2 linked regions of the Rattus norvegicus genome follow. The protein of the gene in region 1 binds, or shares a complex with, the protein of each later gene. Links are inferred from orthologs where the notes say so. Each region holds a gene or a part of one and is shown on either strand. Other genes may lie near its edges. The genes, in order: Gli1 and Sufu.

Region 1 (4,367 bases):
TGGGAGGCTAATTCTCTTGCTCTCATACCGCCCAGAAAACCTTTACTGAAACTGGAAAAGTTAGCGATGTCTTTAGTAGTATGAAGGGGGGAGACGTGAGTGTAGACGGTGGCTCGCGTGGGCGAAGGGGGCTGTCGTCCCGTTTTCATACTGTCTCTTGGGGTGGTCGGGCAATGGGACAGGGAGATAAGACTGACAACTTTGAGGGAACATCTAGTGTCTGGGGGTCCTTTGCAAGTCCTCCCCTTCCTTTGAATGAGTCACAGAGGAGAGAGGCGGGAGACGTGCCCCCTCATCCAGCTGCCAGCCAGCTGTGCCCCCCACCCCCAACATTAGTGCCAATGCCGAGCTGGGAGGTCTTGGATGCGGGATCCGGGTCTCGGCTGAAAAAGGAGGAGTTAGCAAAGGCTATAGCACTTAGGTTGGGTCGTAGGGTCCGGGTTCCGTTCCCCATTTTACCCCGCCCTCACCCTAAATCCCAGCATCCCGGGATCACCCACCGCGCCGGCCGGCCCGCTCCCGGCGGTTCTCCACCCCACCCCGCCCCACCCCACCCTCCGCTCCCGGAAGACCGAAAAACCTGGAGTGGAGTGAAAACTTGTTGAGGAGGAAACGTGGACCTCGCACCAGCTCCTCCTTCCCTCCCTCCCTCCTTGCCTCCCCTCCCTCGCCTAATAGAGGACTTAGTTTTCCCATTCTCATTAAGCCTTTCCTGACAATCCCTTTCCAGTCCTTTCCAAAACCAAGAGGAATAGTTAGACCCAGATTCAGACCGCCTCAGAATGACTTTAGCTCCCATCCTTTTTACTCAACAGACTGGGAGACGCTCTGCTCTGAAGCCTTATTCCCTCCCACACACAGTTCTCGGTCTGAGAGGACACATGGTTTGTGTTCTCTTCTGGCCCCACCAGTCAATGTGGACTGAAGCGAGGTCTCCCTCTACTGGACACTGGAGAGATTGCATTGAGCTCTTGGGCATGAGCCGGCAGAAGTCAGACCTTCCTCTGTGTGTGTGTGTGTGTGTGTGTGTGTGTGTGTGTGTGTGTGTGTGTGTGTGTGTGTTCCACCATCACACACCTCAGAGCTGGTCCATGGCCAGAACAAGAAACGGTAGAGAGAAAAGAAAAAAGAAAAGCAAGTAGAGAGCTCATGGCACTAAAATCACCTACGACTTAGGTTGGATCGTTTATTCCCTAACATTCCCGTGTACATACAGAGACTGAGGAGCTCCTATCCAAGACCCCCAAGAGACCTCCATGACTGACCGTCTGCTTCTGCCCACTCTTTGGGATGATTTCCATGACCAGTCTCTGAGATGGGGGTCAGAGGCACAAGGGACATGCCAGCCGGGGATTTGTGCCTGAACTTGTTATTTAGCTTCTGTTTCTCTCCATCTTTGTAACTGGTGGGTCTACGTTCCTTTCTGCAGGGCCCCTCATCCTTCGCTGAGACACCATGTTCAATCCAATGACTTCACCACAAGTCAATAGCTATGGTGAGCCATGCTGTCTCCGACCCCTCCCCAGCCAAGGGGTCCCCAGCATGGGAACAGAAGGTAAAAACATTTACCAGTCTCTGGGCCTTGAGGACTTGGCAGATGTCTCGCCCAGCTCCAGGATCCCTCCCACCCCATCCCTACCCCATGCTAGTTTCCTGTCTACAGGAGGATTTTGTGACCCATGCTATGTATGTTTGGAGTCTGGGGTCATATCTTATGTAGGGTCTCAAGATAAGCCCTGTATCCCCCATTCAAATGCCTGGCTACAGCTGTCTCTCTTTTCTAGGACTTTCTGGTCTGCCCTTTTGCCACCAAGCCAATTTTATGTCAGGGTCCCAGGGTTATGGGTCTGCCAGAGAGACCAGCAGCTGCACTGAGGGTGAGAACCCAGATAACCCTCCCTACTTCTGCCCCTCTGGGACTTCCTGTGCAGGAGAAGGTGGGGAAGCAAGGGCCAAACTCGAGGGAAGAAACATCCAGAGACAAGGGGATGGGAGGATGATCAAGAGTTTCTAAACGCAGCAAGGCAAAAGCAGTGTGGTTTTTGAGTGAGGCCCCACCTACCAAGTGCAGGGATACATGTACCTTTACAGTACATGTTTAATGTTATATTTTAACACTGTGTGTGTCTGCATTTGTGTATGTGCATGTCCTGGTGCCCTCCCTGAGGCCAAGGGTGTAGGACCATCCCTGGAGATGCAGTTATGCGGTTATAGGTGGCTGTGAACCGCCTGATGTGGGTGCCAGAAATCATAGTCAGATCCTTTGGAAGAACAGCAAGTGCTCTTAATCACAGAGCCACCTCTCCAGCCCCCTTTACTATATCTTAACTCCTGTCTCCTGCCCTAGGGTCACTCTTTCCTCCTCCTCGGAGTTCAGTCAAACTGACTAAGAAGCGGGCTCTTTCCATCTCGCCTCTCTCTGACGCCAGCCTCGACCTGCAAACCGTAATCCGTACCTCACCCAGCTCCCTCGTGGCTTTCATCAACTCTCGTTGTACATCTCCAGGCGGTTCCTACGGCCATCTCTCCATTGGCACCATGAGGTACTGGCAGCCTCAAATTAAGAGGCCCCTAAGAGGGGTTGGGGATTTAGCTCAGTGGTAAAGCGCTTGCCTAGGAAGCGCAAGGCCCTGGGTTCGGTCCCCAGCTCTGAAAAAAAGAACCAAAAAAAAAAAAAAAAGAGGCCCCTAAGATATGTACTGAAACCCATTAGAAGACTCAGACCCTTTAAACCCCCAGCCCAACTCTAGTCCTTCCCCTCCCAAAGCATTGGAACCCTCTTCAGGACCTCCCTGGGGCTTCTTCAACCAACCCTTCCAGAATCCTGAAGAACAGAGAGAGGGCTCCTGGTGACTGATTCTCTCAACTAACAGCCTCCTCTTCATCTAGCCCTTCTTTAGGATTCCCACCTCAGATGAGTCACCAGAAAGGAACTTCACCTCCCTATGGAGTCCAGCCCTGTGTTCCACATGATTCTACTCAGGGTTCAATGATGCTTCACCCCCAGTCCCGAGGACCACGTGCAACCTGCCAGGTGGGGCCCTCCACGTTGTCTTCTCCAGCTCAGGATAAGTGGGTAGGAGACTTAGCAGGGGGCAGGTGAAGGACACAGCAGATATAAAAGCGTTTGGTACTAGGAACCTGGATTCGGACTCTCCCACAGGAGAGCACCTCTCTGTTCATACCACTCACCAGTACAGGCTGTGAAGAGAGTCCTCACACTCACAGGATCCTGCTATTTGGGTGGGGGTCTGTAGGGCAGGAAGACCTGACATGCTTTCCCTTCTTACTATTCCACCCTCAATACCCTCACCTCTTCCCTTGGGGAAGCTGAAGTCAGAGCTGGACATCATGGTTGGCAAGTGCCCAGAGGAACCTTTGGAAGGGGACATGTCTAGCCCCAACTCCACGAGCACACAGGTAAGGGGAGGGTGGGGCTTTTCCCCGGGGACCCAAGTGAAACAAAACTTGCCACACAAATGACCCTAAGGATTGTCTCTCTTGCCCTAGGATCACCTGCTGGGGATGCTGGATGGACGGGAGGACCTGGAGAGAGAGGAGAAACCTGAGCCTGAGTCTGTGTATGAGACGGACTGCCGCTGGGATGGTTGCAGCCAGGAGTTCGATTCCCAAGAACAGCTGGTGCACGTGAGCCCCAGGGGGTAACAGGCAGTTGGTGGGAACCTGAAGGAGACTAAATGGAGCTTTGAGATCTAGTGAAGGGCAGGAGGTTCAAGGGTACTAAGGTCAGAGATCGCATGCTTGGTCCTGCAGACTGAAGCCCAGAGTGTCTGCTCTAGAAGGCTAGAAGACCTGAGGTGTGGGTGAACTGCGTTCCCCACCCCTATTCCCCCAAGAGGAGGAGCTGAGGACGATGAGTACAGGGCTGGAGGGAGTACATTCAAGGTCTGGGTGGTGTCTGGGACCTTGGAAAGCCTCTTCGTCTTCCTCTTTAGCACATCAACAGTGAGCACATCCACGGGGAGCGGAAGGAGTTCGTGTGCCACTGGGGAGGCTGCTCCAGGGAGCTGAGGCCCTTCAAGGCCCAGTACATGCTGGTGGTGCACATGCGCAGACACACGGGCGAGAAGCCACACAAGTGCACGGTAAGGCACCCATCCCTCTCTATATTGGTGCCAAGTCAAGACAGGGTCCTAGTTGACATGCCTTCAAAGTCCCTTCCTTCGTAAGCAAATGTTAACTCTTGCTGAAGACCATATGGATAGAAAGATAAACACACTGATGTATATAAAATGCTATGTTGCTCTTACTCTTCGTTCTTCCCTGCTCTTCCCCTCTTCCCTGTCCCTTCTCTCCCCATCGCCCTACCCCCACCCCACCCCACCCCCGCTTCCCTCCAGTGCTCA
Region 2 (4,313 bases), on another chromosome or scaffold:
TAACTGTGATTTCACGAAATCATCTGATTAAACCCATAACCAGCTGGGTTTGGAAATGGTTTGGGGATGGATAGAGGAGAGAAAAGGCTGTAGAACCCTAAAAGAGACAGACTCCACACTCTTTCCAACTTCCTGCTACAAATCCCCAACAGCCCTTGACGCAGCCCAGGTCCATGCAGCAACAGGCAGTAGCACTGTGTCTCCTCTCCTTGTTCTGCTTGCAGGCATGCTGTGGCTCCCACAGCCGGTCTCCCAAGAGAGGTCACATCAAGAAGAGGCCACGAACCAAGCAAAGTTAGCCTTATACTTGCACTCAGATGAATGGGGGAAAAATCATATTTTACACTTAGGAAGAGATGCAGTCCAATGGCCCAGAACATCCCTTACCTCAATTCCCTCAACACCTGATTTCTTTCTCTCTATAGGGTAGTTGCAGGATAAGACACAAGGCTCTGCCTCCCTACTTTGATCTTGTCTTGCTTGAAAATCTCAGTCAGAGTATTCCTGGTGGCCAGGGACCACTAGCTAAAATGCTACCCCTCAACCCCCAAAGAAAGCCCATAGCCAGACGCAAGCAGTTTAGTGGGTCATACTGCTGTAAGATACTAAACATAAGGGACAGCAATAAACTTCAGTATCTCAATTCTGCAAATCCCTATGAGTTTTAGAAAGAACCATTACTAAGCTGGTTCCTCTTAGATTCCCGTGTCTAGGTGGCATTTCTTACTTCACAAAGTACTGTACATGTCTTTTCATTTGTCATCACATGCTAGTCTACCTCTGGGGATACAGCCTCACTACAAACTTGTAGAAAAAAAAATAAGTGGTATAATTACCCTTGGTCTTTTGCATAATGGTTTCATACCTCTAATGCACGACTCTGTCTTGATGGCCGTGTAGGTGATATAAAACCAGGCGCCCCATATTCTGCACAGAAACTTTTCCCTCACACTTACACAAGATTAGAGCAAACAGCACGGCAAGGCTAGCCCCATTTTTCTCATGACGTGGGACAAGTTCATCATAACTAATACAGAGGTGCAATTGAAATGGGTGATTAGGTTAGCAAGAGCTGCTTCCTGCTCAGAAGCACTCTTTGAAACTCTCTTCAGCCTGGAAACAGGCTGCCCTGCACAGATGCCTTGCCGGCATGTCTCCTGGCTACCCAGATGAGGCTGGTCCCCAGGTCCTCCCGGCTGTCAGTTTCCTTCCCATCATGTACATAACTGACACAGGGAGTTAGCCTCAGTCCTGTATAGCCTGTCGCCCATCTCCAGAGGCAATCAGAGGTTGTTACATAGGAAAAAGACTCGGCTTTAAAAGCAGTGTAAGCTGTAAAGACATCCACTTCCCCCACTTCAGGTCCAGTTTTTGCCAATTCCCCAAGCCATTGCTCCAGGTATTTTCCGGGATCCACTGAAAGGGGTCATCTAATACAGTGACTGCCTACATGAATGTGGCCATCTCTTAGTCTATTTTTGGTGCAGAAAGACCACGAGGACTTGTCCCATAACACTTGTCTGAATTCAGGCTGACTTGAAGAAACGGGTTGCAAAAAGAATAGGAGATTAGAGAGCACCATTTCTACCCCAAGGACAGCCAGCCCGTTTGGAACCTGATCGTTACTGGGCAACTTTAAACTTCGGCTGAAATCCTGAAGGCAAGGCAGGAAGCGCTTCTTCAAGCTACACTTCATTCCTCCTGCCCACTCAGGTCTCCATCACGCACCTCGTGGCAAGCTACGATCTCCTTCAATCCAGAGCCAAAGCTTGGCCCTCCCGAAACCTGTTCTTAACTAACGACCTAAAGCAAAAGCAGCTGCAAAGTCAGAAGCAAGCTCTGCAGGGAGAAAGAGAAGTGTGCAGAGTAAGCAAAAAGTTTATCTGGAAGAGCGGCTCTGTCAAACTTCAAGAGCAACAGCTTCGCACTGAATGACAGAAGCTCCAGCGTTCGTTCGGGAACCTCCCGGAAAAAAAGAAAGCTGTCTCCTCAACTCTTCACGCATCAAAGGCACAATGCCCTCACATCTTACTCCCTCCTAACCCACAGGGGCGTCCTGGTCCCCGGACCGCCCTAGACTACGCGATCTCGTACCCTCCAAAGCCCTCTCAAATGCTCTCCAGGCCCCGCCTTACCTCCCCCCCATTCCACTCCAGCCGCCCCCTGGCTCCCCCAAGCCCACTAATGACCCACCACAGGCGCCCCCTCCTTTCTCCACGTTTACAGTTCGCTCTCACACGTCCCCCCTCAGTTCCTGTATACACCCCTAGTTCTCAGTTCTCCTAATCCCGGTTAACCCCTCACTACTCAAGGGATCCATTAACCCTTTGTCCCCATTCCCAACTTCTGTCCTAACTCCTTCCACAGCATCAGGAAGCTCCTGGTTCCTAAGTACTTGGACCGTTTTCTTCCTCCCACTTCTGCAAATTACTTCGTCCCCAGTGCTCGAAGCTTTCCCGGCCAGCCCCGGTCCTCCCGAGGCCCAGAGCATACCAGTACTTGACGATAGCGGTAACCTGGAGCGGGTTCGGCTGGTCAGGGTAGAGGCGGCGGCACTCTCCGTAGATGGCGTGGAGTCCCGGGGGAAAGAGTGAAGCAAAGGCCGGGGGGGCACTAGGGCCAGAGGCCGGGGGCGCGGCGGGGCCGGGGGCGACGCTAGGCCTCAGCTCCGCCATTGGGGCGCGTAGGGCGCGCGGGGAACCCGGGAGGGTAGAGGAGGGAAAGCGCCCCTATGGGCCAGCGGACCCACTGTGGATGAAGAGTCCCCGAGGCGATGGGGGCTACGGCGAGGTCTAACTCCGCGCCTGCGCACGAGGCTCCGTCCGCCCAAGTCGGAGCCTTCAAGACGTCGGCCAGAGGATGCTGTGGGACCGCGGGGAGCTCCAGAGGGTGGGGCGTCGGCGTGCCCTTGCCTGGCACCCATTGGCTAGTGTCTTTGCCAGTCACAAGTGGGAAAGGCGTGACTTGACAATAGACTCCGCCTCCCTGCCCCTGTGTTGGGAGTGTCCCAAGGATCTTGGCCTCCCCCTAGTGTTAGGAGGAACCCAGTTTAAAACCGAGGCGCCGTACCTTGAGGTGCTAGGGTCCTATGAAAGCTCTAAGAAACGCCCGAGAAGCGCTTAACATGGTGCTAACACACGATTTTAAGATAAGCTTGACAAATGATTAAATCATCAGACTGTGTCATTATTATTAATATATTACAAGTCTAATTATTTCTTGGAACTATTGATAAAAAGAGTAACACGAAAAGTGCCTGGGGAAAATTCCTAGCTGAAAAGCATTTACCTACTCTTTCTCTTCACCTGGATATTATCATCCATCAAGGTCAAGCTCAAGAAAGATGATAAAAGTTTCTAAACCTGGGGTTGAGGATTTAGCTCAGTGGTAGAGCGCTTGCCTAGCAAGCTGCAAGTTTCTAAACCTCTTTAGACCAGTAGTTCCGTGGCATCCAACTTACAGGTAATTTTTGATAACCTCCATTGGCTTTTGCTTCACGGTTTTGTCTTGTTTTGCTTTTCGTTTTACTTTTTGTTGTTTTTCGAGACAGGTTTGTTTTCTCTGTATAGCCCCTCACTGTTCTGGAACTCACTCTATAAACCAGGCTAGCCTCGAACTCAGATCTTGCTACCTTTGCCCCAAGTGGTGAGATTAAAGGCATGCAGCACCACCCCCGGTGCTGCTGGGCTCTTGTAAGTGCCGGGCAAGCATTCTACCACTGACATTCCAGTTCCACAGATGTTTGTAATGGTTTATATTGCCCAAGTGAAGGAATGGCTGAAAGGTAGAAATAATCTGTAAAATTCAACCGCCCCTGAACTACTGACAAATCCAATCCCAACTATTCACAAGTACTTCAGACTCCAAAAGAGTGTATTGGAAACCCCTTGGAAGGGGCCTCAAATCCAGTCATGCAACATTAATCATCAACATTGTGGCTCTTTAATCTACAGACACTACAAACCCCATGGCACCATATGTCGGAAATACACTGTCCAATCTCCTAAACCCGATCTGGATGGGACTCGGTTTGGAGCAAAGAATGCTGGGGATTGTAGTTCTTCGGAGGCGAGGTCGGGCCGCTCCCTGGACGCCCAGTACCGGCGACTAGACTGCGCATGCGTGTCAGTGGCGTTTGCTGCGGACCGGGCTGGCAGTTCCTTCCTCGGAGGGAAAGATTCCTCTGCCATGGAGTCCTACGATGTGATCGCCAACCAGCCTGTTGTGATCGACAATGTGAGTAGCATCTTTCCTATCTTTGAAGGGACTGTGTTCTCCTCCAGGAAGGATTGTTTCCGAGGTTTCAGCCTAGG

The links.
Region 2: the proteins of Gli1 (region 1) and Sufu are in contact, whole or in part, in a crystal structure (PDB 4KMD), measured with the Homo sapiens proteins. The link is inferred for Rattus norvegicus from reciprocal best matches to the Homo sapiens genes GLI1 and SUFU. Residues at the interface, in NP_005260.1 of Homo sapiens: Gly119, Ser120, Tyr121, Gly122, His123, Leu124, Ser125, Ile126, Gly127; in NP_057253.2 of Homo sapiens: Leu144, Tyr147, Asn153, Thr154, Phe155, Gly158, Asp159, His160, Val161, Ser162, Trp163, His164, Gln212, Asn265, Leu266, Ser267, Gly268, Val269, Ser270, Ala271, Glu376, Leu380, Lys398.

Annotation. Positions count from the first base shown.
Region 1 is NC_086025.1:65,048,496-65,052,862, reverse strand, and holds the start of Gli1 (zinc finger protein GLI1), read left to right. Parts: upstream 1-1,455; coding exon 1,456-1,555; intron 1,556-1,784; coding exon 1,785-1,877; intron 1,878-2,347; coding exon 2,348-2,543; intron 2,544-2,889; coding exon 2,890-3,034; intron 3,035-3,330; coding exon 3,331-3,420; intron 3,421-3,510; coding exon 3,511-3,648; intron 3,649-3,956; coding exon 3,957-4,106; intron 4,107-4,367. UniProt on the Homo sapiens protein: Acts as a transcriptional activator. Binds to the DNA consensus sequence 5'-GACCACCCA-3'. Regulates the transcription of specific genes during normal development.
Region 2 is NC_086019.1:255,197,721-255,202,033, reverse strand, and holds the start of Sufu (suppressor of fused homolog), read right to left. Parts: upstream 2,846-4,313; 5' UTR 2,676-2,845; coding exon 2,494-2,675; intron 1-2,493. Other genes in the region: Actr1a (alpha-centractin), read left to right, coding at 4,189-4,236. UniProt on the Homo sapiens protein: Negative regulator in the hedgehog/smoothened signaling pathway. Down-regulates GLI1-mediated transactivation of target genes. Down-regulates GLI2-mediated transactivation of target genes. Part of a corepressor complex that acts on DNA-bound GLI1.